Coturnix japonica: one gene and its partners. The protein of the gene in region 2 interacts with the protein of the main gene of each other region in a biochemical or structural test. Links are inferred from orthologs where the notes say so. Each region holds a gene or a part of one and is shown on either strand. Other genes may lie near its edges. The genes, in order: CREBBP, ATF4, CREBZF and EP300.

Evidence for each region.
Region 1: the proteins of ATF4 (region 2) and CREBBP form a complex in vitro, tested with the Homo sapiens proteins (2 studies listed by BioGRID). The link is inferred for Coturnix japonica from reciprocal best matches to the Homo sapiens genes ATF4 and CREBBP.
Region 3: the proteins of ATF4 (region 2) and CREBZF form a complex in vitro, tested with the Homo sapiens proteins (2 studies listed by IntAct, with this or other methods). The link is inferred for Coturnix japonica from reciprocal best matches to the Homo sapiens genes ATF4 and CREBZF.
Region 4: the proteins of ATF4 (region 2) and EP300 form a complex in vitro, tested with the Homo sapiens proteins (3 studies listed by BioGRID). The link is inferred for Coturnix japonica from reciprocal best matches to the Homo sapiens genes ATF4 and EP300.

The regions. Positions count from the first base shown.
Region 1 is NC_029529.1:11,069,997-11,077,479, forward strand, and holds the start of CREBBP (CREB-binding protein), read right to left. Parts: upstream 4,541-7,483; 5' UTR 4,144-4,540; coding exon 4,059-4,143; intron 1-4,058. UniProt on the Homo sapiens protein: Acetylates histones, giving a specific tag for transcriptional activation. Mediates acetylation of histone H3 at 'Lys-18' and 'Lys-27' (H3K18ac and H3K27ac, respectively).
Region 2 is NC_029516.1:46,169,119-46,176,613, reverse strand, and holds ATF4 (cyclic AMP-dependent transcription factor ATF-4), read left to right. Parts: upstream 1-2,494; 5' UTR 2,495-2,698; intron 2,699-3,658; 5' UTR 3,659-3,756; coding exon 3,757-3,970; intron 3,971-4,502; coding exon 4,503-5,353; 3' UTR 5,354-5,441; downstream 5,442-7,495. UniProt on the Homo sapiens protein: Transcription factor that binds the cAMP response element (CRE) (consensus: 5'-GTGACGT[AC][AG]-3') and displays two biological functions, as regulator of metabolic and redox processes under normal cellular conditions, and as master transcription factor during integrated stress response (ISR).
Region 3 is NC_029516.1:170,212,823-170,220,246, forward strand, and holds CREBZF (CREB/ATF bZIP transcription factor), read right to left. Parts: upstream 3,914-7,424; 5' UTR 3,788-3,913; coding exon 2,937-3,787; intron 2,462-2,936; coding exon 2,413-2,461; 3' UTR 139-2,412; downstream 1-138. Other genes in the region: CCDC89 (coiled-coil domain-containing protein 89), read right to left, coding at 4,932-5,988, 6,934-6,980.
Region 4 is NC_029516.1:45,419,088-45,425,792, reverse strand, and holds part of EP300 (histone acetyltransferase p300), read left to right. Parts: intron 1-12; coding exon 13-130; intron 131-529; coding exon 530-704; intron 705-2,369; coding exon 2,370-2,447; intron 2,448-3,339; coding exon 3,340-3,449; intron 3,450-3,916; coding exon 3,917-4,072; intron 4,073-5,108; coding exon 5,109-5,549; intron 5,550-5,959; coding exon 5,960-6,148; intron 6,149-6,705. UniProt on the Homo sapiens protein: Functions as a histone acetyltransferase and regulates transcription via chromatin remodeling. Acetylates all four core histones in nucleosomes. Histone acetylation gives an epigenetic tag for transcriptional activation.

The DNA of each region.
Region 1 (7,483 bases), on a different chromosome or scaffold from region 2:
AAGAACAATGTAGTTTCAAACTCCTAGAGAAGTCTCTCCATCTGTTTTTGTAAGACTTCAGCAACTAAGTGACTTTTCAACCTGAGGCTCATTACACTAAGGGAACAAATCAAGAAGGTAATGAGAAATAATCTGCCCTCTGCTAAGCCTCTATGGCTCCTCCACCAGCACTCAGCTTCGGAACTGCTCCTGACAGCAGGGTGACGCCAGCCTGACTCCTTGGGACAGGACAAAATGCACGTGGCTGCATCCCCTAACCCACATCCAATGTGAGCAGCACCAAACAGCTGCCTGACATGGGACGTTCTGCTCTGCCCTGAAAAAGACAACAGTAGAAGTTGATAACTGAGTTCAATTCCTTGCCTCTTCCCACCTGCGAGCTGTGTATCACTGAGTCAGAAACCCAAGTCTGTCTTTGGTTGTACTTGTTCAAATCGTCGTCATCTTTTCCTGTTCACAATGAAGATACAATGTGTTAAAGGTCCCCAAAAACACAACGCTGGCTTCTGTCAGATCTGCTTTTATGTGGGGAAAAAAAAGGTCATCAATCACTCGAATGTTCCGCAATTAACACAAAGTAATACGTGAGAGCACATTAAATGTCCCTGGTACCAGAATTAACATACAGAAGAAAATACAAAGAAGCACATTGAGGTCAGTGGGTGCTTTATCTCTTCCCGGACAACAGAGGAGAAAAAGAACACACAGAAAAGAAAAATGAAACCACAAAAGCTGCGTGGCAGGAGAAACACATCGTGGGCCGTTCTGGAAGCATCGGATGGGAAACGATGGATCCACTGTGCTTCCCTCCAGTCCTGCACAGCCTCTCTGTAACTGTTCCTCCTCTTAATTGCTTCCCAAGGCGTCTCCACTGTTTTGACAGTGCCGCTATGGCAGCTCTCACCAGCAGCTTCAAATCCTCCCCAGTAGCACCAACAGCAGCACGTGAGCCATGGCAGCACACGCAGCTCTCAGGCTGCGCAGCACAGCCCGGCTCATCGAGCTGCCTTGCTGCAGGAGCTGAGCTGCAGGCAGGAGCTGCAGGAGCTGGCTTTGCTTTCAGAAAATCACCCTGGTGAAGATTCAATATTTTAGGGTTCTCAAAGCATATTAATGGAATTGAGGTCTCGCTTTTTCATCCTACCACAAACGCGTGCATCTTTCCCGGCATCCTATTTAACAGCTGAGAAGATGTTGAAGTTTGAGGTGACCATTTAAAGCAAAATCACGTGAGAAGGCAGTCATAAGCAGCAGGCACTTGCTTAAAGCAGCACAAAACACCGTCAGCATTGGGGATGCCCTCAGCCATCCCACACCATGACGGATCCACTGCTGTGCCCCCCTCACTGCACAGCACGACAGCTCCCCATGATGCACGTTATCTCGACAGTGGCTGTGCCATTCCCTGCCTACCGGCTGCTTATCAAAGACACGGGTCGACATGAGGTGCTGCACATTTTAAATGGCTCCATCCTCCTCAGTGTGAGTGATGGCACCGGCAGGGAGAGCTCCGGCCTTCTATCAGCGCATGGAAGCGCTCACCTGTGTGCAGGGCTGTCACACAGCAGGTCTATCTACCAGGAACAGAACAGCGAGGATTAACGTGCACTTACAAGTGGAGTTAAGAAACAAAAAGAATTAAAAGCTGGGCAAAAATATAGTAAAAAAGCAACTTTTGCATCTCCTTCATGATCTGCAGCAGTGATGTTTCCTTTCATGCCCTTTTTCCCTGCCTACTTCTGGGACCAAACGATGAGGGAGAGCAGCCTGACAGCAATTGCAATGAGGCACAAAGCACACATCACAAAACACACCAAATGCACAGAAGGAACCAACAGCACGCAGCCACGTGAAACTTTTCTTTCTAGAATACATCTGACTCTTAAAGCTTCCAACTACAAGCGACTGAACACAACCGGCATCTGCTCCAATCTGCCTCACTGCAAAGCACTGATTGCAGCGAGCAGAGGCTGTTCTGAATCCCTCTCATTAACACCTTCCTTAAGGAGTCCGTGAAACTTAGGAAACAGCATTGCAGCCACCACAGCACAGATGGACATGTGAGATTTCCAGCTTTCTTTGCCCCATTAGATAAAACTACGACACAAAAGTCAGGTCACCTGCACGGCAACACCCACTGCAGCACCCATCACATAGGGACAGGGCAATAGGGACAGCACACAGGCAGGGCTGCAGCCTGCAATGGTGTGACATTGGAGTTCCTATGGACAGCACAACATTCCCAGCGAGCTCCCACAGCTGCAGGGATACCCTCAGAGAAGCAATTACGTACGTGGATATGAACACAGATGCAAATCAATGGCAACAGACCTACCCAAATAATGGTTAAGACTTCACTTCTCAGTGAAGATTTTGAAGAGCGTGTGTGTCCGGGTTAAAGATTGAGATTCCGAGCTCTCAGTGGCTGATTTAGCACTGATAATAAAGTTGCAGATCCCTTCTGATTCACACCCCGACTCTACGCAATAGTATTTGTTGAGACATCCCTATTGAAGCCAGCGTTCCAAATACAAGCATTAGGTTCTCTCTGCATCTCAGACATCTGAGAAGACAGATGGAAAACAGAACATATGTTAAAAAGGGGGGATTTACAAAGCAAAAATTCTTGAGAGTGTAAACCAAATTAGGATGGAAGTGTCGGATTTCTAAGTCGTCCCACATGTTTTCTCATTGCAGAAGGACCAACTGCGGGATCTTTCCAATCCCGCGTTCTCAGACAGCGCTGCAATAACACAGCACAGCTGCTGCACGTGTTGTTCTGTGAGCAGGTAACGGCAGAGAGCAGAACCTCCACTGCAAGCAGACCCCAACAAGAGGGGAATTGCTGCATGTGAAGTTACAGGCACAAGATCTGAACGCGGTGCATTGCTGTGGATATAACCAGCAGGGCTGGACTGGAGTCGTGACTTCCAGGAACACCTGGATGGAACAGAAAGTGAATAACCTGCACCAGAGAGCTGGGAGTTATCTCACAGATCTTCACGGTCCAGCGGGGCTGACCCCGAATGCTGCTTTATTTCCTTATTTCTGGCGTTGGCCCAGCAGCTCCAGCAGCTCTACAGCCACCGGCCGAGGCAGCACGTTCAGTTGTGGTGTTAATTTCAAGGTGTTTAAAGAAAAAGAGAAAAGAACCAACATCATAAAACCCCAGGTGCATACACAGCTATCACTCTAAGTATGAAATGGAAGAGAAAAAGCATGGGGGGGATGACCATAACGCTACAGACTGCTACATCAAACCAGCCCGGTGTGTTATGTGCTCTGCTCCTGCACCTCGTGCACATGTTGGTGTCAAACTCCTCGGACACACGTAGATGGCAGCGGTACAGCAAGGTGCTGTGAGCGGGGTCGGTGCCTCGGGGGAGCAGAGGAACCAATGTCCAACATGACGCTGTGCTGGCACAGATGACAACAGCCAGAGCGGAGTTAAACCGCTCGGGTGCAAAACACCCACCCCGTGTCGGAGTTGGGATCCACCATTACACACAGCGGGCAAGTCCCGAGTACCGACACAGCCATAAAGCACCGGGCTGTACGAGTCCCATCGACAGCGCCAGCACCACGAGACAAAGGGAAACCCCATGAAATAATCACGGCTACGAGCGGGCGACGAGAAAACACTTCTTTCCAACCCGAGTGTGCTCGCTGCCCGGGGTTCCTCTGTTCCTCTGTTCCTCTCCTCCTTATCCCCGCTAGTGACGGACAAGCACCGCGTTACCGAAGCGCTTCTCGCTGTTCCACGGCGCTGACGCCAAACTTTCGCACGCAACGCGACCCGGAGGCCTGCACTAAACTTTCCGGCTACGCAGCACCGCGCGGCTGGGAGGTGTAATGTGTAATGCAGGCCGGGCCCGGAGACGCCTCGGTGTCGTACAGCCGGCACGGATCGTCCTCCCAAGCTCCGGCCCGGCCTCACGATCGCGGTTCAGGCCTCAACCCGGCCCCGCCGCTCGGTGCCCAGCGCTCCCCGGTCCCGCCCGCACCCGGCCCCGCCCGCACCCCCCCCCTTCGCCGCCGTCCTCGCCCCGCGGCCTCACCTGTGCTATCGCTGGCGGAGAAGCCCGGCGAGTTGAGCTTGGCTCGCTTGGGGTTGGGCGGCCCGTCCAGTAAGTTCTCCGCCATGCTTTAACCGCTCGCGGCCCGTCCGAGGCGCTCGGGCGCTCCCGGAGCTCGGCGAGAAGGGAAGGAGGAGGAAACCGAACAACAGCGCCGCTCAGTGCCCGGCCGGCGGCGGCCCCCTCCGCTCCCCCATGGCCGGGGCCGCCGCCGCAGCAGGCCGCAGGGAGGAGGGCTCGGGGCGGGCTGGGGGGAAGAGCCCAAGCGCCCCCTCCCTGCCGGCTCCTCCCGGCCGCTCCCCCGCCCTGCCGCCGCGGTGCCCGGATGGCGGGTCCGGCGCTCACTCGGGGAGCATAGCCGGCCCCCCCGGCTCCGCCGCTCCGAGCTCCGTCCCCTCCCCTCCGCGCCGGGGGGTTGGAGGGGGGGGGGTGCGGGGGAACGCTCGGCCTCGGCCCCCGCCCGCCGCCCCTCACCCCAGCGGGGCGAACCGAGGCCGAGGAGGGCGGGGGTGGAGGGGGGTGAGAGAGAGAGGGGTGGGGGAAGGAGGGCAGGGGGGAAAAAAAAATTAAAAAAAAAAATTAAAAAAAAAATCAGGAAAAAAAAACAAAAAAAAACCAAAAAAACCCAAAAACCACAAAAAACGCCCCAAAACAATGAGCCCGCCGCCGCCGCTCCCGGTCCCGCTGGCGGCGCCCGTTCGGCCCCGGCCGGCGCTGCCCCGCCGCCCCGAGCCCCGCTGCCCGTTGGCGGCGCTCCGCGCGGCTGCCCCGTGTCCCCGCGGGCGGACCCCGCTGCCCCGGCCCGGCCCGGCCCGGCCCCGCTCCGCTCGCGCCGCGCTCCGGCTCCGCGACAAGATGGCGGCTGTTGATTCCTCAATTAAAAAAAAAAGTTTTTTTTTCTCTTCTCTTTTCCAGAGCCCGTGGGGGCGGGAACGGGGCGGGCACTGCGCGCTGCGTCACCGCGTACCGGGACCGCCCCCCGCCCCCGCCGGAAAGGAGCGAGCGGAGCCGGAAAGAGCCGAGATCGTCCTCACTTGATCCGCCGCGTCCGCGGGGCCCACGGCCTCGGTTCCTATGGGCTCCTATGGGCTCCTATGGGCTCCTATGGGTTCCTATGGGCTCCTATGGGCTCCTCCCGGCTCCTATGGGTTCCTATGGGCTCCTATGGGCTCCTATGGGCTCCTATGGGCTCCTATGGGCTCCTATGGGCTCCTATGGGTTCCTATGGGCTCCTATGGGTTCCTATGGGTTCCTATGGGGTCCTATGGGTTCCTATGGGTTCCTATGGGCTCCCCTCTGTTCCTATGGGCTCCTATGGGCTCCCCTCTGTTCCTATGGGCTCCTATGGGCTCCCCTCTGTTCCTATGGGCTCCTCTCGGCGTCCCTCGCTGTGACCCGGTGTCGTTCGGCTCCGCCGCTGCCGCCCCTGGCTGTGTCCGTCAGTCCCGTTCCCGCAGTCCCTCCGTTCTCCCCCCTCAGTCCCTCATACCGTCAGCTCAGCCCCACGTGCTGCACATCTCGTTGTCCCCCTGCAGTGCCCGGCTCCCCTTGGCTTATCTTCAACCCATCCTCCCCCTGTGCCTCCCACTGATCTGTGACCCCCTGGGGCAGCCCCTGGTTCTCTGTCAGAGCACCCACTCCAGGTGGTGACCCCAGGCCTGCACTCAGCACCCTGCACTGAGACCCTGCACAAGGCCATGGCCATACACAGGGGTTCCTTCCTGCAGATCCAAGGTGCTCAGCCCTCTGCCATCACAGCCATACACAAGGGCTGCTCTCAGGCACCGCAGCCACGGCGCCAGGAGGCTCCTGGCTTCAGAAACACCTGCATTCTGTCTAGACAGACATCCCTGGACAAAACAGGTTTGTAGGACCAGAGCTCATGTGCTTCAGCGCATTTCCATACTGGTTCCCAACCTGAGAAGCAGGTCCTATAAGCCCCGGTGACGTGCCATGCCAAGGCAGCACAGCGCCTCGTACCCAAACTAGATGCTCGGGGCTGTTTTCAGCATCAATATATCGACGTGTCCCCAAAGACCACACAGCAGTGGAGGACAGAATGAAGGAGGGCACGGATACAGCGCTGAGGATGCTGATGAAATCCATGAGCTGGGCCAGATCAATCAACACCTCTGCATTGGTTTAAAGGAGATCTATAATGATACCTTTTTGTTTACGGCTCAGCTCCTATTCATCACATTTACTTCTGTATTTCCATGCGTTTCATTACATTTACTTGCAAATTCCGTATTTATTTACATGGTGCCTGTCCATGCATAAAGTCAGGATGGGGACTTAGTGGGGACAGATGTGTGTGGACACCCAGCTTACCTGCAGGAAGGTGTTTGTGCTGCCTGGCTATGGGCTACATGCTGGTGTTGTACCAGTACTATAGATCTGGATGTCCAGCTGCTGCAAAGGGGCACCACCATCACTACCACCACCACAACTATAAGCACAGCTTGTGTATCAATGTGCCTGCCAGGCTGAGAGTCCTGGGGAGCGTAAGGAGGTGCTTTGGAGGGAGGGAATCCCATATCCCAGGGCAGCAGAGGAGGGAGACGATCCTATTGCTGCTGTGTTCAGGTCTGCTTAGGGTGGCCCCAACTGCCTCCTGCCATGGGATCACAATAGCATGGCGTACATGAAAGGCCTTGACCCTTAACCACAGCTACCCCTAGAAATAGGGCTATGATTACTTGCCCAGCAGGCTGCCCAAATAGTATAGGAGGACTCAGGGGAAGAAAGGTTCTTCGGAGCACACGGATGAGCCCTGACACTGCAAACTCACACCCAGTCCTACCAGTTGTGGCTCCCTGCTCCCTGCTCCTACAGCTGAGAATGAAGCACGGATTCCTGAGGACTTCACAGGTGGTGTTTGGGAGCAGGTGCTTCATGGATATCCCCTTTATTCAGGGACTAGTTCCAAGAGAAACTGCATAATAAACTCTGCGCTGCTGCAGCCCATTTCCAGACTTCCCGTCTCCAAAACTAAGCTGCTTGAAGACACAGTGCCTGCGATCCCATCTTCCTGCCCATAGCCAAAATAGGGAAGTATCACTGCTACAGCAGGTGACCCGAGATCCTTAGAGCCAAACAATTAACAGTGTCTGAGTAACTGCTGAGGAGCTCAGCTCTGTAACTTGTAATTGCTGTGGTATCAGGACAGTTCTCAGAATGAAACAGCCCGTTATTCCTGGCAGTGTTACATCTCAGCATTCTGTTGCCTTACCTGCTGTGTTTGCTGCCCAATGGATCTGTCCCAACACACAGAAAGCCCAGCATCCCCCATCTCCCCTCCTCCCAGCTGCTGAAGGAGGTGCTGCCCGTCTTCCCCAAGCACATCTACCTGCATAGACACCACCAACTGTGGAGCAGCTCCATGCGATGGAACTTCTTTCTGGCTC
Region 2 (7,495 bases):
TGCACAAAAAATTCCTAAGGAATGGTTACTTAAGCTTGAAGAATTATTATCCAGCTCAGTCACAAAACTCACTCCTCAAAGGAGAAAACTGTGATGTAATACCTGCAAAAGCAGAGACGTATTTTGTAATGGATTGAGACATGTCTCATTAAATTGTGTAACAATAATTCTGCAGTCTCTTTCAGGAAACAGGGAGAAATAACACTGTTACTAAATGTCTGGCTTTTTGTTACCTCATTTCACTTCCTGAATTGAAGATGATGAAAAAAAACCAAAACAAAACCCAAAACTGTTTGGTGCTCAAAATGTAGACAAATGTGCACATTTGCAAAATAAAAAGGGAAGCAGGCAGCTAGGAAACAGGCAGATCTGGGTTAAGTTCCTCATGACATGCATCATTTTTGCTTGCATAATTCTTACTCACACATACCCAGAGTCCTTTCTTCAAAAATATGTAATTACCATTTCAAGAGAAGCATTTCTGTTTATTTTGCTACAGTTACAGTGGTACAAACACCTTTTTTCTTTGCAGTTGGATGTGGGGGATGTGAGAGCCCTCCCTCGACCAGCCAAGACACAGAGATGCTGCCTCTCATCCACCCAAGCCAATCACCCACCAGGCTTCTTCAGTAGCTGCTGCATCCATCCTCTGAATTTTGCTTTGAAGCAAGATCTGCCTGCTCATTGGTGCACGTATCAGAGGAGTCATCTGAGATCACTCAGTTGCTATCGTGTTTTCTGATATTGGAGGGCATTTTTCTCTGCTGCCTCTTCCATCTTAGTGAGCCATTAAAAATCGATGCTTGATTCTAGAAAAGCAAAAATAAAACAAACACATTCACACACCCACAGAGAAACAAAAAAGCCACAAAACACCACAGCACATTGGAAAAGCTGTATTTTTACTTTCAGCAGCCAATGTTCAGTTTACAGAGCTGGAATGACATACATACCCCAATTTGTTGCAGTGATGGTGACATCCTGCTGCTAAAAGTAGAAACCTGGCCATGACTGTCCTCCCTGGCCATGCCCATCCTCTGGGATTATCAGTGGAGCTGTTTAATGAGTTCCAGGCAGGTATACTTGTGCAAACTGAGCCAAGGCCATGGCTGTACACAAATACTAACAAGCCCTAAATGGAAAACAAGGGAGCCTTTTGCAGTGGAGCCAAGAGGAGTTTATTGACAGGGTGATAATGTTTTGAGCAAGCAAGGATCCATGGAGGGGGGTTGGAGCTTGATGATCCTTCCAACCTAAGTCATTCTATAATTAATCTTCAGAGCTGATGGTGTGTTGTAGGGCTGGTAATGTGGGAAAGCAACCAAAGGCCAGGTAGTGAAAGAAAACATGGGTAGCAACCTTCCCAGCTCACCTTCCTCACTCAGAGCTGCATATGGTGCTTTAGTGTCCTCAGAGAATCACGAGGGGACTGAAAACATCTGTTCCCCATGGGTTTCATACAGGGCTAGGTGAGGACCAGAGGAGCTGCTATAAACATACAGGGCCAGACGTGATGGAGCAGGGCTGCCTTCTCATTTGGCTGATTTAGTTCAGATAAAACATAATGCAAACCTGCTTGAAAACCTTCCCAAGGTGAGGCTGTTTACTAGGGCCGTGAGGCTGTGTAGATGACCCACTAATGCTCTCCTCCATTGAGTAATGGCTGCTCTTGCATCTCCTCACAAACCACCCCAGGCCAATGTTACAGCTCAGCTACAAAGCTAGCAGGGTGTCAGGGACACAAACACACAGCCCTATCTCTGTGGGGCAAGTAGCAGGCAGGGAGTTTTCCACTTATCTGAGGGAGCAGTGACTCTCCTCAGCAAAGTTCTGCCCTCAACTCTGCTGGACGTCGTCTGGAGGGGCTGTTAAGAACGCACAGGGAGAGCGGACAGGACTTCGTGTGGAGGGCATAAAGAGCTGTCAGTAACAAAGGAGGCGTGGTGCTTCAAAGAGAACACGCCACGGAAATGTGAAGCAGAGAATAGAACCAGCGCCACCGCCATTTTACGGCTCCTCGTTCTCCGTGCCTCTCACCATCTCTCCCTTTTCGGGCGTCAGCCAATGGCGGCTCAGCGCTCACACGGTTACCACGCCACCAGCCAATCGGCGCGCAGAGCTCACTGGCTGTGTTGGCGGGCAGGAGCAGCAGCCCCCCCACATCCCCCTGCGCTCCGCGGCGGGCGGGAGGAGTGTCCTCAGCTGCTGTATCACGTGGCCTCCCATCTCGGCTGGGCGGTGTTTGCGCGGAGGAACACCATATAGTCCCTCTGTCTAGGAGCCCACGATGGAGGGAAAAGTTATTGCTGACAGCTTTTTTGGTTAATCTTTAGCAGGATGGAACGAGAGCGGCCCAGAAAGTTGAAGGTCTACAGGCTGAAGGGTGCTGACGAGAGGCGGGTGACGAAGAGCGGAAGGACACATCAGGCCGGATCTCGTTTTGATTAGCGTGAAGGTATATAAAAGCGGAGCGCGCGCGCTGCCACCTCATTGTGTGCCCTTGGCTGAGCTGACAGGTTGTAACTGTGACCGTGCGTAGCACCTCTCCGCGCGGCGCTGACCGGAGCACCAACCAACCCCCCCCCCAGCCGCCATGGCTCTCTAAGGGCGGCAGGGCCAGCGGCGGCATCGGCCAGTGCAGCGGGCGCAGCAGCAGCGGCGGCGGCCTCGGCACATCCCCGGCATCTGCAACCATGGCGTGAGTAGCGCGTGTGGGGAGTGCGCCTTGTGTGACAGCCACCCCCTGCTTCATAAAGCGGGGTTCTGGGGTGCGAAACGGACGCCCCATAGGAAAAGCTGTCTGGTTAATAGGGTGGGGGCTGGAAACCTACTTGAGGGTGACGGAAATGGCAGGAAATGACACTTTTAAGAGGAAAAATGAGCCATAATACCCTGTATTTTAGAGAAGCCCACATCCTGAAAGCTCAGGGCTGTTCTATTTTGTAAGGCTTTTGTGAGAATATTAGCTCCCTAGACGGTTGTCTTAGTAGTATAGGGGATTGTCTTTATAGAGGCGTTCCCACAGCGGATGGAGGAGTTAAACGGGGCTTCCAACGAGCGGGCATTAAGATAATCCCTTAATGCTACGGCGCTGCTGGCCGGGGGAGGAGGAGGGTTGTGGGGGGAGGGGGGGGGAATGGTGTCGAACCCAGCCTGATAGAAGGGTGTAAGGCTGTCGTGGTATTTATCATCCGAATCCACCTGGTCCATAAGTCAGCCTAGCACCAAAAGGTGCTCTGTCGTTCTATCGTCCTGTCACCTTCCCCTCCCCCCCACCCCTCCACGTTGATGGCGTTCCCATCGACACGGGGTGAAAACGTGTCACGGCACAAAATGGCGGCGGGGCCGGGTGGGGAGCGGTAGGCGGCAGATCGCGAAATGGCTGCGGCGTGGGCGTGACGTGAGTCAGGGCGCGGTGGGCGGGGCCTCGGCGGGGCGTGGGGCTGGCAATGCCGTGCTGGGCAATGGAGATGCGAATAGAAAAGCTTTTATGAAAGCAAACAAATAAAAAGCAAGAGTTTGAGGCAAACAGCCCTGAAAATGCTGCAGTCGTACAAGTCTGGTGCAACAGCACTCTCCCTGAGGCTGCGTTTTGTTGTGAAGGCTGTTTTTCCAGTAGAACAAGCACTGATGCATGCGAAAAATGTTTGTCTTACAGGTTTTTCAAGGCACCGCACAGCAGCACTGCTGTAGTCAACAAAAAGGCCCTCTCCTTGTCTACATCCTTTGACGTCAAAGCGCTAAAACCTGACCAAGATGAGCCTCTTGAACAACGAGATGCTGTTGGGGGAGTCCTCCCCCCTCAGCCAGCCGTGTTTGGTGGCTGAGGAAGGTCTGGGACTCCTCGATGACTACCTGGAGGTGGCCGAGCCCCTCGGTTCGCATGGGTTCTCCAGCGACAAGGCTAAGGCAGTCTCCTCCAATTGGCTCACTGTGGACAGTTTAGGCAACACCATAGATAGCAGCCAGGGTAAGGCACTAATTCATGTGCAGGAAGTAACACCAAAGGTGATGGCACATAATAAATAATGTAATCCTCCTGTTCAAAGATAAATTGCACGAGTTCTCTAAATGGAAAGGTAACATCACGTATGTGTCTTCTGGCCTGGGAAGCATCCATACAACACTGATTATACACAATAGCAAATGGCTCTGTAGTCGACCAGCCTGTGGAAAAATGACACTTGCATTGCCCTTTTAATAACATGCCAACTATTAAGAGTAGCCTTCCCTGGAAGAGGTCACAAGAAACAAGTGTGGTGGTGTGTTTCAAATAGGCCTGAATTCTTAGAGAGCTAAGACTAAGAGGGATGGAATGTCAGCAGCTGACAGATACATAGTATCATGCAGACTTCCCCAGTTCATAGTAGGGGGAAGGGGTCTGGTAGTCGATCTTTTTACCATTAAAAAGAATGGGGGAAGATATAACTATTTCTGGTATAACTGGTATAGAATCTCTGTGTTGGCTCATCGAAAAATATACTGTTTTTCTCCTTGTTTAGAGGATGCCTTCTCTGGCATGGAGTGGATGGTGGAGAAGATGGATCTGAAGGAATTTGATTTTGATGCCCTGTTAGGTATGGAACATCTGGAAGCCACCGTCTCACCAGACGACCTGATGGCCACGTTGGAAGACACGTGTGATCTCCTGTTTAACCCTACCACCCAGGAATTTCACAACAAAGAACCTCCACTCATACCTGATCTAATCACCAATCTCCCCGAATCTCCAATTGGAGTAGATCCCATGGCCCCATTAGGCTCCCTGTGGCCTTTTCCCCTCTCCCCAGGGTCTCTGACTTCTGTTCCAGACCATTCATTTAGTTTAGAACTAGGTAGTGAAGTGGATGTTCTGGAAGGTGAAAGGAAACAGGAGGCCCCCACCTTTCTGGTAGTGATCACGAAGTCAGAGAAAGAGGAGGAGAACCATTCTGATGATAGTGGAATATGCATGAGCCCAGACTCTTATTTGGGAACGCCCCAGCACAGTCCTACCAATTCACTTGGATCCCCTAATGACAACCAGTTCCCTGCAGATGCCACCCGTGGCTCTCTGCGTTCTAAACCATATGACCACCCTGCTGAGAAGGTAGTGTCAGCAAAGGTGAAAGGAGAAAAGAAAATAGATAAGAAATTGAAAAAGATGGAGCAAAATAAGACTGCTGCCACACGTTACCGGCAAAAGAAGAGGGCAGAACAGGAGGCTCTGTCAGGGGAGTGCAGAGATTTGGAACAGAAAAATCAGGCCCTGAAAGAGAAAGCAGATTCCCTGAGTAAGGAAATCCAGTACTTGAAAGATCTGATTGAAGAGGTGAGGAAGGCCAAAGTCAAAAGAGCTAGAGTCCCTGAGTAGGGTAGTCAGTAGTGTTTGTGTGCATGTATATATGCTTGCTGCTTAAGCTGTGTGGTGTCTAATAAATTATTTTATAGTAAACTTGCAATTTTGTGTGGTAACTGAGTATCTGTAAAATAAGGGTTTATACCATGTCGTTTGGGGCTTCAACCAGCTGGAATGTGCTGCTCCACCCAAGTGTGCAAATAGCATTTACTGTTAATGTGGTTCAAGTGATACAGTACATGTTACAGCTCATGTGTAGCTGAGAATACTTGCAGATATCTAGTAAAATGGAGGGGATCAAGTGGAGATAGTCCCAGATCTTGAATAGCAAAAGCAAAATCATAAAGGTTCAGCCTTACAAGGAGCCATGTAAGTATGTTTATAAATATGGTTTGGAGAAGTCTCTTGTGGGAGTTACTGGGTTTTGACAAGCTGATGGCTTCAAGCAGTTCCCCAGGGTGTTAATTCCTTCTCTCTTGCACTGACTTGTCCAATCATACTGCACAAGCATCCACATGGAGCTGGTGTGTCTGCAGCCTTTCAGGGGCAGCCAACAAGCTGATCTTATGCTGGTGCCCCTTGCAATGATGCTGTTTCCATACTTAGTAACTTAGTTAAGACTTTGCACTGGCTGGAGATTAGGGCTGGCTCTTCCTCTGCATGTTCACTTAGCATTTATAAGAGCATTGGATTAAGAGATGGGAGAAAGCATCTGAGCATTAGAGAGCCTCCTGGCTGATCTCACATTGGCAGGCTGCAGGAGCCTCTTCCTTTTCTCACAGGCTCAGAACAAATGTGGTCCAACAATCCCTATGGTTTACGTGCATGGTGACACCATTCCCAGAAATAGATTTTGGTGCACAAAATAGAGCCCCCAGAGGAAGCCAGTTTTCCTGTATATTTGGAAACAGTGGAATTTTCCCAGTCTGCGCCCTATAAAAACTCAGTATTAATAGCTACCTTCCTCTTTCTCATGCATTTAGAGAGACCCAGGTGCTCTTACTTCTCTTTGCAAACGAGAAGAGGAAAACGCTGCTGCTGAGGACTCCACCGCTTACCCCTGTGAATAACCAAAGGGGCAAAAATAACCTCCATTTGCAGTGCTGGAGTATGAAATGATGGCAAATGCTTCCAAAGAGCCCTGGCGGAAAGTCCAGAACAGCAGCAAGGACAGGATGTCCTTCAGGAGAGGTGTCTTCCTCAGCACTGTGCTGGTGGCAGGGAAATGTTGGCCATGTATTGTGGTGACAGAACCACCATGTTAATTTATATAGGGCAGAGGATCTCCAAAGCACAGGATGCCTGTTGTGAACTTGACTCCTCTGCATCACCACTGCAGTGCCTGGACAACTGGAAAAGAACATCCTCTTTCCCCTCCATTAATTACAAGTTAGTGGAGGAGATAAATAAGCTTTCTTGCATGCAAATGGTGCTGCTCAACTTGGCTAGGTTGCTGCTCAGCCCTGCCAACAGCTAATTCCTTAAGAACAAGGTGTATGTAACCCTGCAGGCAGAGCAACCGTCATGATTTCCATTTCCCCTGCCCCCAACAGTCAGTGGCTGGTGCTGTTAATCCTCTTTAATGTAACTACGGATAGTCATACAAACCTTTAATCCATCTCAAACCTACTAACCGTTCAGCCTGCTTCAGCTGGAGTTCCTGGTTTTGAGCCATAAATAAGCATTAGGCAGCTTGCCTCCTTTTACATTCCTCAATTGACTGTTCTTGTTTCGAGGTGAGAAACTTCCATGTGCTTCACCATTACATTTGTGAGCTATTTGGGGCACTGCTGCTGTGTGCCCCTTTCTGTGGTAACCAGCCCCTTACCTGAGGTGTTCGGAGCCTATCGGTGTTGTAGGCGTGGATCCAACACTGTATGAATCAGCAGCAAGATTGGAAGGGAAGTCAGTCCCAAAATACTTGCCAAGGGCTGAGATTCCAAAAGGTTTCTAGGACCCCTCTCAACCACGGTTTTCCCCTCTCCCTGTTATGGTCATTTCAGCACTTTAAGTTGTTTGCCAAGCTACCTTGGTTCATTTGCAGCCTGGCTTGTCCCTCTGTTATTTCAGAGGGAAGAAACTGTTGAGTATCCTGAGCAATCCTGTTTTATTAGTTTATACCTGCAGCCTTCCTGATACACCTCTATGCTGATACTG
Region 3 (7,424 bases), about 120 Mb from region 2:
TTCATCTTGTGTTCCATCAGATTACCCACGCAGCACAATCTTCCCTCTTCTGATTCCCATTTTGTGTAATGAAGCACTCAATTAAAGCAAGGTACCAGTGAGAAGATAAAGATGAAGAAAACATTTGAGCCCGTCAACTGAAAGATCAACAAGTCTGATTTTATTACAGTATCGTATTCTCATCTGGATGGCACATCATTACAAAGAAACATTTACAATATATTTTCAAGTATTGAGTTAAAATCATTTCAAGGCTTCCACTTCAAAAAGCTACATTAATAATACACCATACAGATGGTACAGTTGGTTAGTTTCAAATGACCTCCTCCCCTCTATTTGGTTTAAGTATGATTCAGTAGGCACTAGATATGCCTGCAGCCACTTACTTTCTTAGACTTGACCTTGTTCTTGCACAGGTCTACATCACTGTGCACACCAGAACATCAGCCACTCTCAGACACAGCTCACAGGAGGTTTCACGGCTGGAGCGATGTGCAGCTGCATAACAGAGATCCCTGACTCCTATCGGTTTGAAGTGATGCAAAATGAAATAATGCATATTTAACTTAAAATTCTGCACTGAAGTGACTGCAGAATTGCCAATGTAACATCCCATACTTGCTGCATTAGTGTCTCCCTTCTCCTCACGCACGCTAAAATTCAAACTGAAGCATGGTTGCAAAGCCTGAGCCGGGCAGATTCAACCTGAGCTCAATCTAAATCAGTCAGCACACATCTGGAGAAGGTCCTGCCATAACCCACCACCTACTGCATGTCACACAGTTAAAGACTGAACCTTGGAACAATCCTGCCGATGCCACCGCAGTACTGCACACGTCTGAGGTCTCTCTTGTGCTGGCAGTGTACCCTGAACAGATGGAATTGTGAAAACACAGGAAGAAAACCTGCTTGATAGGATACTGCCTTCTAAAAAAGCATATCGGGTAACAGTTAATGAATCCCAGCATTCAACCTTTGTGTTTGTTTAAACAAAGACAGCAAAAGCCCTGTTTACCTCTTTATTCTCATTTCTTATATACTACCTTTTAAAACAAAGCAGGAAATGTGGCCAGCAGCTGGTCCCGTCTCTTCTGCCCCAACACAGCTGAATCCACTTTAGCATAAAGAAAAACAAGGATGCTAAATACACGTAGACTTTATCACACAGTGACGTTTCACAAAGAAAAATCATGTTCTTCACGCCAAGGAAGTACTTGATAAGGTATAGTGCCAACAGTTCCAATTGCAGGGAGAAAACCCTCCCCCTTAGCCTTAAATACCAAATTTAAGGCTTTAAGAAACAAGACTTCCAAAACACTCCATAGAATTCTTTTTCTTCAGGAAGTTCAGAAATGAGACCAACTGAAGGAAATCTCTTCTTTGTGAAACCTCACTTTACATTTATTAACACCTTTATCGCGATCCTTCTTCCCCCAGCTGACGTACAGAAAAACCACCTCAACATTATGACACAACTGAAAGAACAACCTGCTCATCCTGGGTGATGGGGAGAAATATTCCTACCATAGAACACACGCTGCTGTTCATCAGCATTTTTCCTCCTATCTCAGTTAATCAGGAAGAATCTTTGCAATTAATTATTTGCTCATCTCCAAAACTGTGCTGAAATTGTATGATGTTACAGATTTCTGGATACTGAAGGAGCGAGTTAAATCAACATCTCTACAGTAAAATGAAGCACATGCACACACGTGAAGTTCCTTTAAAAGATAAAGCTACTCTGAAGTAACAAGGGAGTTTGAATGCAGGGGGGGCACTGAGATCACTTGGGAGAGGCACTGAGTTACTTTGTGACCCACAGCTCTCACTGGAGTTCTATGGAACAAAGTGATTTCTCTACATTAAGGTTCCACTGTACAGATGTCAGCAGTGTTCGGGTTCTGTTCAAACAGGAAAAGCTCTGCATCATGAATTAAAGGAAGGCAGGAAAGGGCATCCTAAAGGGACTGTGCATCACTAACACTAGACAGTACTTTAAACCACCAGGTCACGTTTTTCATTTAAAAGCAATTTACTTGTTCTTTTGGGGCAAAAGACTGTAAACGTCGTATCATTAGTAATATTTTCCCTTTTCCAGCTCATCAGCTTGTAGCTCAATAGAAAATTCCTATTTCAAATGGCAGAAAGCATTTACTTTTAATTCAAAACGCAGCTCACTGACCGGCTACTGTGTGCATGTTGATTTAGAACAGAAAGCAGCTACTCAGAATGATGTTTTCCACAACTGAGTTAGGAATTAGAAACATCACAGCAGGGCAGGGACCAGAGATACCATCTCCTGGGCCAGTCACCGCATGAATGAGACCGGCACAAGCAAAACAAGCTGTCTGATACCGCATTATGGGAATATATTGATCCTTACCAGGTTGCGAGGTGGGAAACGACTGCTCTTTAACCCCTACACAACGGAGCCTGGCAGGACAAGCACCTAAAAGAGAAACTGTCAGAGAGGTTTTAATAGTAACGTATAACCAAGAGGCAGCACAATTTTATACGCATGCTTTCTTTCTTTTTTGCCGTCCGGTGATGATGTCTTAATGAAGGTTTTTGGTTTTCTAAGCAAGCATTTTTTTTTTCAGCTGGGATAAGCGAACTGATACAAACCCGGCCAGGTCAGCGTTATTTCTACTGGAAGAACGGACACACCGTCCGGCCTCAGGTCGGCACCGTCTGTTCCGTGCCTAAAGAACCGAACCGAACCGGCAGCTCCGCATCAACACCACGCTCTGCTCGGCTTACGGGCCTTCCCTCGGTCACCCGGCGTTCGGATTTCTATCACCCGAAGGCGACAGTTTCCCCTCCTCCTCATCTCCCCCATCACCACCCCAGCACCGCTGTTACTTTTGCCTTCTTTCCTCCGCACCCCCAGCGGGTCGAGCAGCCCGCAGGTACACGCGGCAAGTAGCGGACCCTACGTTTTAAAGGAGGCTGCCGCTCTCCGAGCGCAGATGGAGCAGAACTCCACCGACACCTGATCCCGCTCCACGTGCAGGCAGATCCCGCCGGGTGCCGCCCATTCCTCCTCCTCGGGCTCCGCTCCCGGCGGCTGCTCGGAGCCGGGCGGCCGCGCGTTGGGCAGCGCGTAGTCGTGGTCTCCGCTGTCTCCGCCGGCCCGGAGGGGCTGTTGTTGTTGTTGTTGTTGCTGCTGGAGGCGGCCGTCCCTGAAGAGGCTGGTGCCCAGGCGCAGCCCGCCGGCCCGTGTCCCGGCCAAGCGGCTCAGGAGCTGCCCCAACGCGCTTTGGTTGGCCAGCACGGCCCGCAGGTAGCCGCTCTCCCGCTCCAGCTCCCGCAGGCGGCGGCTGAGGCCTCGGTTGCGGTCCCGCAGCTGCCGGTTCTCGGCAGCCAGGCCCTGCAGGCGGCTCTCCAGCCCCAGCACGTACTGCTTCTTCTTCAGCCGGTTCAGTCTCGCCGCCGCCGCCGCCTTCAACCTGCTGCCGGCCCCGCCGCTCCGCCGCCCCCCGCGGCCGCGCCCCGCTTCTCCGCACAAACAACCGCTCAGCTCCGCGTCCCATTCCGGCCGGGCCGCCTCCAGCAGGTCTCCCAGCTCCAGCCCGGGGAACCAGTCTTCTTGTTCCCAAACCTCCGGCGGACCTTCGGCCGCCTCTTTCTCCTGTTGCTGTTGTTTGGGCCGTCCAGCGCTCGGATCACCTTCCCCGCCGCCATCCCGCCCTCTCGGGGTCTGCCCCGCTCCGGTGAGAGGCCACGCGGCTCCCGAAGGGCTCGAACCGCCCGAGGCCGCCAGCAGCTGGGTGAGGCTGTGCCGCATGGCGGCAGTGGACGGGGGAGGGAGAGCGGAGTGGAGCGGCGGTGCCGCGGTGTGTGCCGGGAAACGGCGGACGTGTGAGGGGAAAGCAAATGGGATCCTTGGGCTCCAACAGGAGAGGGGTGGTCAGCAGGGATAGGGAGGTGATCGTCCCTCTCTGCTCTTGTGAGGCCCCATCTCTCATACTGTGTCCAGGTGTGGAGCCCTCAGTACAAAAAAGACATGGAGATTTTGGAAAGGGTCCAGAGGAGGGACAGGAAGATGATCAGGGGGCTGGAGCACCTCCCCTATGAGGACAGGCTGAGGGAGTTGGGTTTGTTCAGCCTGGAGAAGAGAAGGTTGCGGGGTGACCTCATTGCAGCCTTTCAATACCTGAAGGGAACTTACAACCAGGAGGGGAGTAAACTCTTCAAAAGGGCTGACAATAGCAGGACACGGGGAAATGGTTTTAAGTTAAAAGAGGGAAGATTTAGGTTGGATGTTAGGGGGAAGTTCTTCACTAGGAGAGTGGTTAGGCCCTGGAACAGGCTGCCCAGGGAGGTTGTGGATGCCCCGTCCTTGGAGGTGTTCAAGACCAGGTTGGACGGGGCCCTGGGCAACCTGATTTAGTAAAGGCATATGTTTGGTGGCCCTGCCAGGCAGGGGGTTGGAACTACATGATCCTTGAGGTCCCTTCCAACCCGGGTCATTCTGTGATTCTGTGTGATCCAGGGGGGGAGGGGGAGAAGAACGGCTCAGGGCGGGAAAAGAGGCTGTGTGAGGGATAAAGGGTCGGTGTGAGGGAGTTTAATGGCTGCGGTGGGACGGGCCTTAAAGCACATCCACTCCTAACCCCTGCCGTGGGATGGGTGCCCCACACCAGCTCAGGCTGCCTGGAGCCCATCCAACATGGCCTTGAGCATCTCCAGAAGGTGGGGCTCTCTGAGGCCTCACCACCCTGTGAGGAAAGAATTCCTTCCTAACCTTAATCTTAACCTCTAATTTAGTTTCAAACCAAGAAATAAAAGGCTCCAGACCAGTTCCTGCAGTAGGATTTAAGCATGTAAGTACGTTACAAAGTACATCTGCTAGAAGACGGCTGCATGAACAGAAATCAGTGCTATGGTACAGTAGAGGCAACCGCTATGAACCGTGCAGAAAGCTGATGTTATGCCTTAAAGTGACGGAGTTTGATATTCAATGCTTTTTCTTTGGCCAGTAAATCCATGCTGTGCTTTTTGTAAGCGTCGAACTGCAGTGAGAGCTCGCTGTACGCCTGCTGGCTGCTCTTCAGCTCTTGCTGGAGCCCTTGGATCTTCAGATCATAGTTTGCTGCCACTTCTTTGACGATGTGCTTCTCTGCTCTCCATTTGGCTCTTTCTGCCATCTCCAGCTTCCTCCCCAGCTGCAGAATTTCCTGCTGCTTTTCTTGCAGAGCTTTGCCCCTTTCTGTGGCCAGGTTCAGTAGCTGCTGTTTCTCCTCGTTTGCCCTCTCCAGCTTGGCCTGCAGCTCAGCTCCGTGAGCCTTCTGCTGGCTTTCCCCATGCTCCAGCTGTTCCACCATTTGTTGGTGCTCCTCCTGTAGGCGCTGCAGCTGTTGTCTTAGCGAGTCAACCTCCAAGGTACAAGTGTGTGCTTGCTGGCTCTGAGCTTCCAGGAGCTCCTTTTCTAGCTGCTGGGCTCTGGATCTCTCACAAGCACATTTCTCATGTAGAACATCCAGCTGCTGCAAGAGCTCTCTGGCCTGGGCAGCAAGATGGAGCATTTCATCCTCCTTGTCCTCTGCTGCATGGCTGGAGAGGGTTTCGTTCTCCTGCTGCAGACACTGGTTTTCCTCCTTCAGCTCCGTGTTCTGTTTCTCGTGCTCATCCTTGGAGGAGATCATTTTCTCCTGGTTGTTGGCCAAATCCTCCAAGTACTGAATCCGCTCGGTCTGGTTTTTTAGTTTCACAGCATCTTCTAGCCTCAGTTTCTCCAGTTCCACGTTGAGCTGCTCCAGGCTCTTGCAGCGTTTGCGTGCATCATCTGTTTTTTTCTTCAGGATACAGATAAGGCGATGCTGCTCTTCCAGGCGTGCCCGTAGCAGAGCCTTCTCTCTCTTCTCCTCAGGGCTCCCGCAGGGTGTCTGTATGCCTTTTGTCAGATCTTCTATATATTTGCCTATCTCCTCATCGCTTGTGTGGCTGGCCACCACCGTCTCTCCATCCTCTTCGGCAGTGGACACACTGTCACACACAAAGACAAAACAACATTTCATAGAGACCACTTCTCTTCGTGACCTTCAGCAGGTTTGAAGTGTTTCCAGCTCAGCACTAAGCTGATGGACAGGGAATCCCAAGAGCAGCCCTGCAGCCTTTCCTAGCTCTGCAGACCCCAGTTCAAAGACAAGCAGAGTGAATAGAAGGATACCAGACCCCATAAAGAACCGTAAGCTTGGTATTTACACAAGCCTATTCATTTGCCAATTACAAGCTTTGGTAATTATTCCTTCTCAAAGCACTACTTGTTAGAGCTACAAGAAATACTGTTACATTGAGGTAACCAGTAGATGATAAAGCTGCAAATAATTCCTCATCAATCCTTTTCCTCTGCCTTTGTTTTTTTTTTCTCTCCTGCAGATCTGGAATTATAAATGTAAGTAGAGCATATAAAGTCAGTTCAATCCTCAAATTGATTATTTTATAGTTTTAATGGTATATTACTCATTAATAATATTAATACCCCTACACTGTGCTTAGAGATGTATGAATAAATGGTAATAATTACTGAATGAACAATAATAAAGATGGTTGCCTGGAGGGAAGGTTCCTTATTTGAGTGTTGGTGCTGATTTGCTGAGTCTTGTTTCTCATCTAAAGGTATTTATATTACAGCAGCACCACCACCATTATTAGTGCCTAATCACATGGAGTGCTACCCACATGTACCAAAAGTTTATCTGAAACCAAAGGACAACTTTGAGATGCAGACCTGCAATGACACAGCGTGTGAAATAGCCTGCTGATAATCAGGCTCTGTGACCTCCTGTGCTTCGAGGCTGGTGGTAAAGGCATAAGGAAGATTCCTCGGAGAGAGGAGTAAAGGAGAGATGAAAAACAACATCCAGCAAAAATGAAACCAAATCTGCCAAGTCTGGACAAGATGCCAAGCTGTGACTTGTGGGTACTCACCTTCCACTGCTGCAGCTGCTTTGGCTCCTGCCACAACATTCAGCCATAAGAGGGAAAAAACCAGAAGGCTGAGACTATCCAGTGGAAAAACAACAGAGAGAGGGGCTCAGCAGGACAAATCTATTCTGTTGCCAGGTGTTTTCCTTCTGTAGCCTGTTTGTTGACACTCCTAGAATGGGGCTTGTGTCCATGGCAATGCAGGTCTGAATGGGTCACTCCAGAATCCTGCCTTCATCCAGACATTGTGGAAGTAACTGGGAGTAGTTCTTAGTAAACAAATGCTGTTTGTGCTTCCAAGGACATTAAAAAAACTCCCGTTCTTGTGGAGTCCTTATATATATATCTATATAAATGTATATACATACATACATGTATATACTGTCTGGTTCTTGGGTTGCCCATAGTCAGCACATCAGACACAGGTACATCAGTCCAGTGCAGGTCGCCAAGCTGTTTTTGGTCTTCAAAGGAAACAAAACAACAAAAATGTC
Region 4 (6,705 bases), about 750 kb from region 2:
CTTTTTCTTCAGAGTCCAAGCCATATTTCCTACACCTGACCCTGCAGCATTGAAGGATCGGCGTATGGAGAATCTGGTGGCATATGCTCGGAAAGTGGAAGGCGATATGTATGAATCAGCAAACAGCAGGGTAAGATGCTGTCTTCTGTCACCTGGTTGTGTATCTCTAATCCCATCTGGTAGTGGTTGGAGAGGAAGAGGGGTAGAAAACAGAGGGTCCCAGAGCTGCTGGCTTGAGTCTAGGAACCAGCCAGCTGCAGATGTGCTGGGATTTGGGATGGTGCCTGTTTTGCTGTTCTATGCCTGAAATGTGCTGGATGAAAAGAAAAATTTTGTGTGGTGCCCTGATGATTGTCAGTTCCTGTGTTTGCCCACAAACCTCCCTGCCAGCCCTGCAGAGGGGAAGCTTCCTCCCTCCTGAGTTCGAATGTGCATGTTGAAGGATGTTTTCCAAGCTTTGCTGAGTGTGACCTGTTGCCTTATTTTAACGTCTCCTTCCCTTTCCTGGATTGTATTCCTCTCCCAACAGGCAGAGTATTATCACTTGCTAGCTGAGAAGATCTATAAGATTCAGAAGGAGCTGGAAGAAAAGCGAAGAACAAGGTTGCAGAAGCAAAACATGATACCAAGTGCTCCAGGCATGCCACAAGCTCCTGTGAATCAAGGACCTAACATGGGTCAGCCTCAGCCAGGGATGTCTGCAAGTAAGAACAGTTGGGTTAGTTGTTGCTTGGTACGGGTCAAATATATAGTGTTTTTCTGGTGTGCTGGTGAGCATTTTGGCAGTATTGTTTCATTGATACCTTGTTTACCCATCGTTAAACTGAACTTATTCATCTCTGTTTAGGAGTACTTGCAACATCTTTGTTTTGCTTATTTGTTAATTAATGACCATAGATTATCTAAAATTATTTGGTCTTGTGAGTATACTGAAGTATCCTAACCCTGTGTGCTAGATGAGAGGAGATAGAGGACATTGTAGAAATTCAGTCTCATTAATCTCACTTCTAGAATTGACTGGTAGTGTCTGAAGTTAAAACACGTTTTAATAGTATTTAACTGTCTGGTGTTTGAAATGATTATTGTTGCTGCTAAGCAGGAAGTCTGATAATCAAATTGTTTTCTACAAAATGTATTACTTATGCCTTTGAAAGTTCAGGTAGTGCTTGCCCTGTGCCATGTTTGTTTGTCGTGTTTGATGGTTTGGTTTGTTTTTTTGAACAAATAATTCTTATAGTGTGCTGTGACAACCAGGTTTCATTATTTTTCCCTATGTAGTTGTCTTGTGTTTCACAGTAGTTCTGTTAATGGACACTTATAATGCTAAACAGGTTATTACTATTATATTTCCTTATAACTAGGCATTTGCATGTTGAAGTGACTTTGGAAAGGAGCTAATGATCAAAGTTGTAATGCTACTGAGGACTGTTATCTTTTCACAGCATTAGGAAGTTATAGGACACAGTAGGCTTTGCCAGGTAACAGGTGAAAACAAGTAACACTAGTTCTTGCACTTGATATTTCTCTTCCATTCATTCGTTCCTGCATGGTTTTTAGATACTTCACAGTTAAAAACTGAGCTCTGAAGATGTCTAATCAGAGTAGATGTATAGCAGTCAGTGACAATATAATAAATTGTCCTAAGAACATGGAGTCAAAGTCAGAATTAGTCAGTTGAACAGGTAAGAATCAGGGGTTATTTTTCTTATGCTGCACGATGATCCAGTAGTTCCAGTGATATGCTATAAGAAGCTTAATCTGAGGGGTTTTTCTCCTTTTTGAATATGAATGTATATTGGTAATTCCAGTCTGGATCTTTTCATACTTGAACTTAGAACTGGGTTTACCAATATGCATTACCAAAAAGCAGGAAAGGCCTTTAAGATTGGTACTATGAATTTATTTGTTGTAACTTCCTCTAGATCAGGAGTAGATGTGATATTTTGGTTGTTTATCCCATATGCTAGAAGAACCAAACTTTGGAGATTTGATAAAGTACATCAAACCAGCCCATTTTTATAGTGTTTTCAATCAGGAGGTGCAGTAATAGCGTAGAGTAGTTTGCATAAATTCCTGTGGTCTGGAATGTTCACAAGCTGCTGAGTTTTTCATTGTACCTCAATAACATATTTCATATTTGTCCACATTTTAAAATCTGTCTGCAAGTCAGAATATCTTTAGTTAACTGGATATCAATTGGGTTTTACCTCATACTTGAGGGACTCTTAAGTATGCTTAGTTTAAAATTACTGGACAGTGTCCATGCTTGTTTTTTTTAACTCTTTTTTACAGGAAGATTTTCACTAGAATGATTAAAAAACTGGTGGTTTCTAAATGCCATAATCTTATTCCAGAATCTTTTTTTACAGATGGTCCTATAGCTGACCCCACACTGATACGTGCTAATGTGCCAAATCAGATGATGAATCGCATGCAGGCACAGCCAGGTAAATTTTATATGAAAATTTGCTACTGTGATTGTGAAAGAATTGTGGAGTTAGGTAGCTCTTGCTGAAGTGTTGTAGCCTTCGTTTCACCTGCTGTATTCCCACTTGTCCTGTACAGCCTGCTGTAGGGAGCCTTCTTTGCAGGGGGGTTGGTCTTGATGATCACTTGAGGTCCCTTCCAACCCCTATAATTCTTTATTCTGTGAGACCAAGAAAATAGATCTGTGCTTTATATACATATATGCGTGTGTGTATATAAATATTTGTGTGCGTTTCTGTGCACAGTGTTGTTTCATTTTCTTGGAGATGTGAGCTGCTTATTACTGCTTGCTTAGTTAAATGAGGAACTTAATTTTTTTTAAATTATTTTTAAGTTTCTGTGTGAACATGAGATGGTAGACCCGATCAGCTTAGGGTGAGGGCATGTCCAAAGCAGAGGGAGGATGATGAAAATTGCTGCTCTGGGGTAGAACCTTGGTTGTATTTTCAAGAAGTATTGCAGCCAATATAAGGAGCACTTAAATGAAGATTCACAGTCAGGATTTGCAATAAATTAACTTCTAGTCATTAAGATAATGCAAGCTATCACAAATTGTATGTGGGATTAAGTCCTTCAGGGGAAAAAAAGCCAATACGTATTCTGAAATAGCTTCAGTGCTTAGTACTTAAAATTGTTCTGTTAACTGACCAATAGGAGAAGAAGGTATTTCCATTACGTGCTTTCCATGGCATGACTGGAAATTTTTTCTTTAAAAAAAAAAAAAAAAAGAAAAAAAAGAAACTGACAGCATTCTTCAAATGTTGAATGGCGCCCAAAGGAGAATTCAGGCCTCTGATCATAAGTGGTTTTTTTTTTGTTGTTTGTTTGTTTGTTTTTGTCACAAATGTGCAGGAATGAATCAGTTTGGCCATATGAACATGCAGCTGTCACCAATGGGACCCCGGCAAACTCCTCCTCTTCAGCACCCTGGACAGCTAAGCCAGGCCGGGGCCATGAACCAGGTCAGTGTGCTTCCCTTCATCTTGGGTATTCAGCTCATGGGTTTCTGCTGTTGTGCCTTCCTTAAAATAAGCAAACAAAAACAAATACAATTTAAACATTATTCCTGTGTTCTGTAGGCACTTTGGCTTCTTATTTCTGCAGTGCCACAGAAGATGTGTCTGGTATGTGGTCAGCCTTGGTGATTTAATTAAAAATACATGTAATTTCCTTCACTGAAAACTAGGTTAAAGTGGAGTTTTGGGCTATTGCTCTCCTGAAGCAAGGAACAAATTGAAGTCACAGTCTGAAATCAGTATCCCTTTGGTTTGCAGATGTCATAATTTCTAACTTTTGAGAGTTATAGTAGACCTTCCATACTGTATCCTATGCATAAGTATCAATCAATCACACAATTTCTGAGGTGAGATAACTGTTTTTATAACATACGACAAAAGTATATGAAATAAGTTCCTTTCTTTTCCAACAGATGGGATTTCCTTCACGTATGCAACAACCAGGAGTTGGCCAACCTTCTGGTCAAAATCAGTTTCTGCAGCAGAACCCATTCCCTGCTTCTTCCCCAGGAATGAATGCAGCGAGCATGCCTATGACACAAACTAGCAATCAGACACCAGTTTCTCAAGTAAGTTTCCGATTTTTGGAGGTTGTGTTAGTGGGCTCTGTCATATGATGTTTTTTTATGTTCAAGTTTGTAATAATGGAGAATAATTTGTTTTATCAAGATGCTATTGGAGCTGTAACCATCTGAATTCATTTATTGAGGCTCAGCATTTTCCTGGCTATTGTGCTGGTAGTGGTATGGGTAAAATGTTGGCTTGTTCTCAGGCTTAAGTTTAAGTGACAGAGAATTATTTAAGTTTGTATCTGTGAAGGAAAGAGCTTGTTGCTCGTATATCTTGCTCATATAGTAAAGAACAGCAAAGCAGTAGAGACTGAGAAATTAAAAGATGCTGGAAGAACAAGGCTTAAAAAGGCATGTCCAACCACAACCATCAAATGTATTTTGCTGCCCTTTGGGGAATAGGATGGTTGTCACTACTAAAGATTGGAACTTCCAGTCTAGCAGTTTCTTTTCTGTCCTTTCCCTCTCCCTTTTCAGTGAGAACCTTTCAGGCCAGGAAGAAGTAGGGAACGTCAGTTTGCTTCTCGTTGATGCTTCTTCCTAGTTTGCAGGCAAGATTATTGTGAAGTGACAGCTTTTTTTTCTTGACCAGTACATCTTTTTGTAATCTCATAGCGCAGTTGCAGCTATATGTATTTCTGATGATAAATTCAGTTTCTAGTCTTGTGGGTGGGGGCATGGGCACACTGTATTTGAATCCATTCTTTCCACTGTCATGTATCGCCGCATATTCAGGGTGTACATATCTGCATTTTTTGAAAGAAATGTTTTGCAAACTGCAGGTGTAAGTGTGTCATTCTTTGAATGTATCGATGAGTATTATTTACTCTGAAACTTCTGTTTTAGAGCTGAGTATACTACAAACAGCTATATGTTCAAGTGATACAAAATGAAAAGCCTGTTTCTCCTTTTGAAATATATATATATTTTTAAGTTTGTCACTTTTTGAAAGAGTATGCCAGTAACTGTGGGAAAGCAGCCGTTTTAACATCTTTCTATTTGAAGTCATTGCAGATGTGTACTTGTTTTCCCACAGGCACAAATGAACAGCTCTTCCTGTCCTGTGAATTCTCCTGCCATGGCTCCAGGCTCTCAAGGGAGCCATATTCACTGCCCACCTCTTCCACAGCCTCCCATGCACCGAAATTCTCCTTCTCCAGTACCAAGTCGAACCCCAACACCTCACCATACACCCCCAGGCTTGGGATCACAGCAACAGCAGGCGGCAGCAGCTGCCACCACTGTCCCCACCCCTACTCCTCAGGCAATACCACCTGGACCACAGTCACAAACTATGCATCCCCCTCAGAGGCAGACTCCAACACCTCCGCAGGCACAGCTGCCTCCACAAGTCCAGCCTCCAGTTCCAGTTGCCCCCTCTGCAGAGCAGCAGCAGCAACCGTTGTCACAGCAGAGTACAACAGCGTCAGTTCCCACACCAACAGCACCACTGCAACCTCAGCACCCCACAACACCTGTAAGTAAATATTTTAATTGAACAAATGGGCAAATGTAAGGTTTAGGATCTGGTATTTCCACAGAGGAAGTAATTCTTTTCATGCATGTTGAGAAATGCACAGTGAAATATGCATGGGAGGTCATTAGTTATGTCTGCATATGCATAGTGATGGCATAGAATAGGGAAACAATATGAAATTATATACTAGACCTTCCAGTGAATGTCTGCTGTGCTTTCTTCTATAACTAGACTTGTGTTAGCAGTATGTACTTCAGGTTAAGCAAGTGGAAGTACCAAAGTGAATTTGAACTTGATGGAAATAAGGTTATAGGTAAAAGGTAGATCAGAGCATAGAAAAATAATAGGTTAATTAGAAGTCTGTCTGTAATGTGTTTTGGTTTTTTTTGTTTTGTCTTTTTACTCCTTAGCTGTCACAACCAGCTGTAAGCATTGATGGGCAGGTGTCCAACCCCCCATCCACCAGCAGCACAGAAGTGAGCTCACAGCAGACTGCAGCAGAGCAGCAGCAGCCACCTTTGCAGGAAGTGAAAATGGAGATAAAAACAGATGAAGGGGAACCAGAACAAACAGAGCTGCAGATGGAGGAGAAATCTGAGGTGAGCTGTCGGTTTGTTGTTGGAGAGAATAACTGCTGTTGTTAGCTCCTTGGTCTCCATGCAAGCTTGTCCTTTTAGACTTCAGTTTGTATGCTACCTACTGCTGTGGTTTTGTCACCTCCCTTACCTCTTCCTAAAGAAGGGTCTCTGTTTTGTGGTAAAATTATGGTAGAAACCAGTGACCACAATAAGGACTGTGATAACATGGTTGGAACTGTGAAGTTTTTTGGTAAATGCTAATGTAAGAAGGTGCTCAAGATGCTCATTTGAATGTTATTGACAGTTTTACTCACTGGAGTAGTGGCTGTGTATGTGACAGGCTGTTTTAGTGGGTTGTGACAGTTTGTTGTGAGGGCAGCTGGGACCATGACTCCTGGCAGCTGAACTGCAGGAGAGACAGTCAGAACTGCCTGAGCAGCAAGATCTATACCTCTTTGCCTGCTTGCAGCTCAGAACTGGTTAGCAACCCTTCACTGCCGCTGCTGTGGTGTTAAAGGTATTTTCTGTCATATCTGATCAGGTTTTAGGCAAATTACAATTGCAATATAGACAGCCTT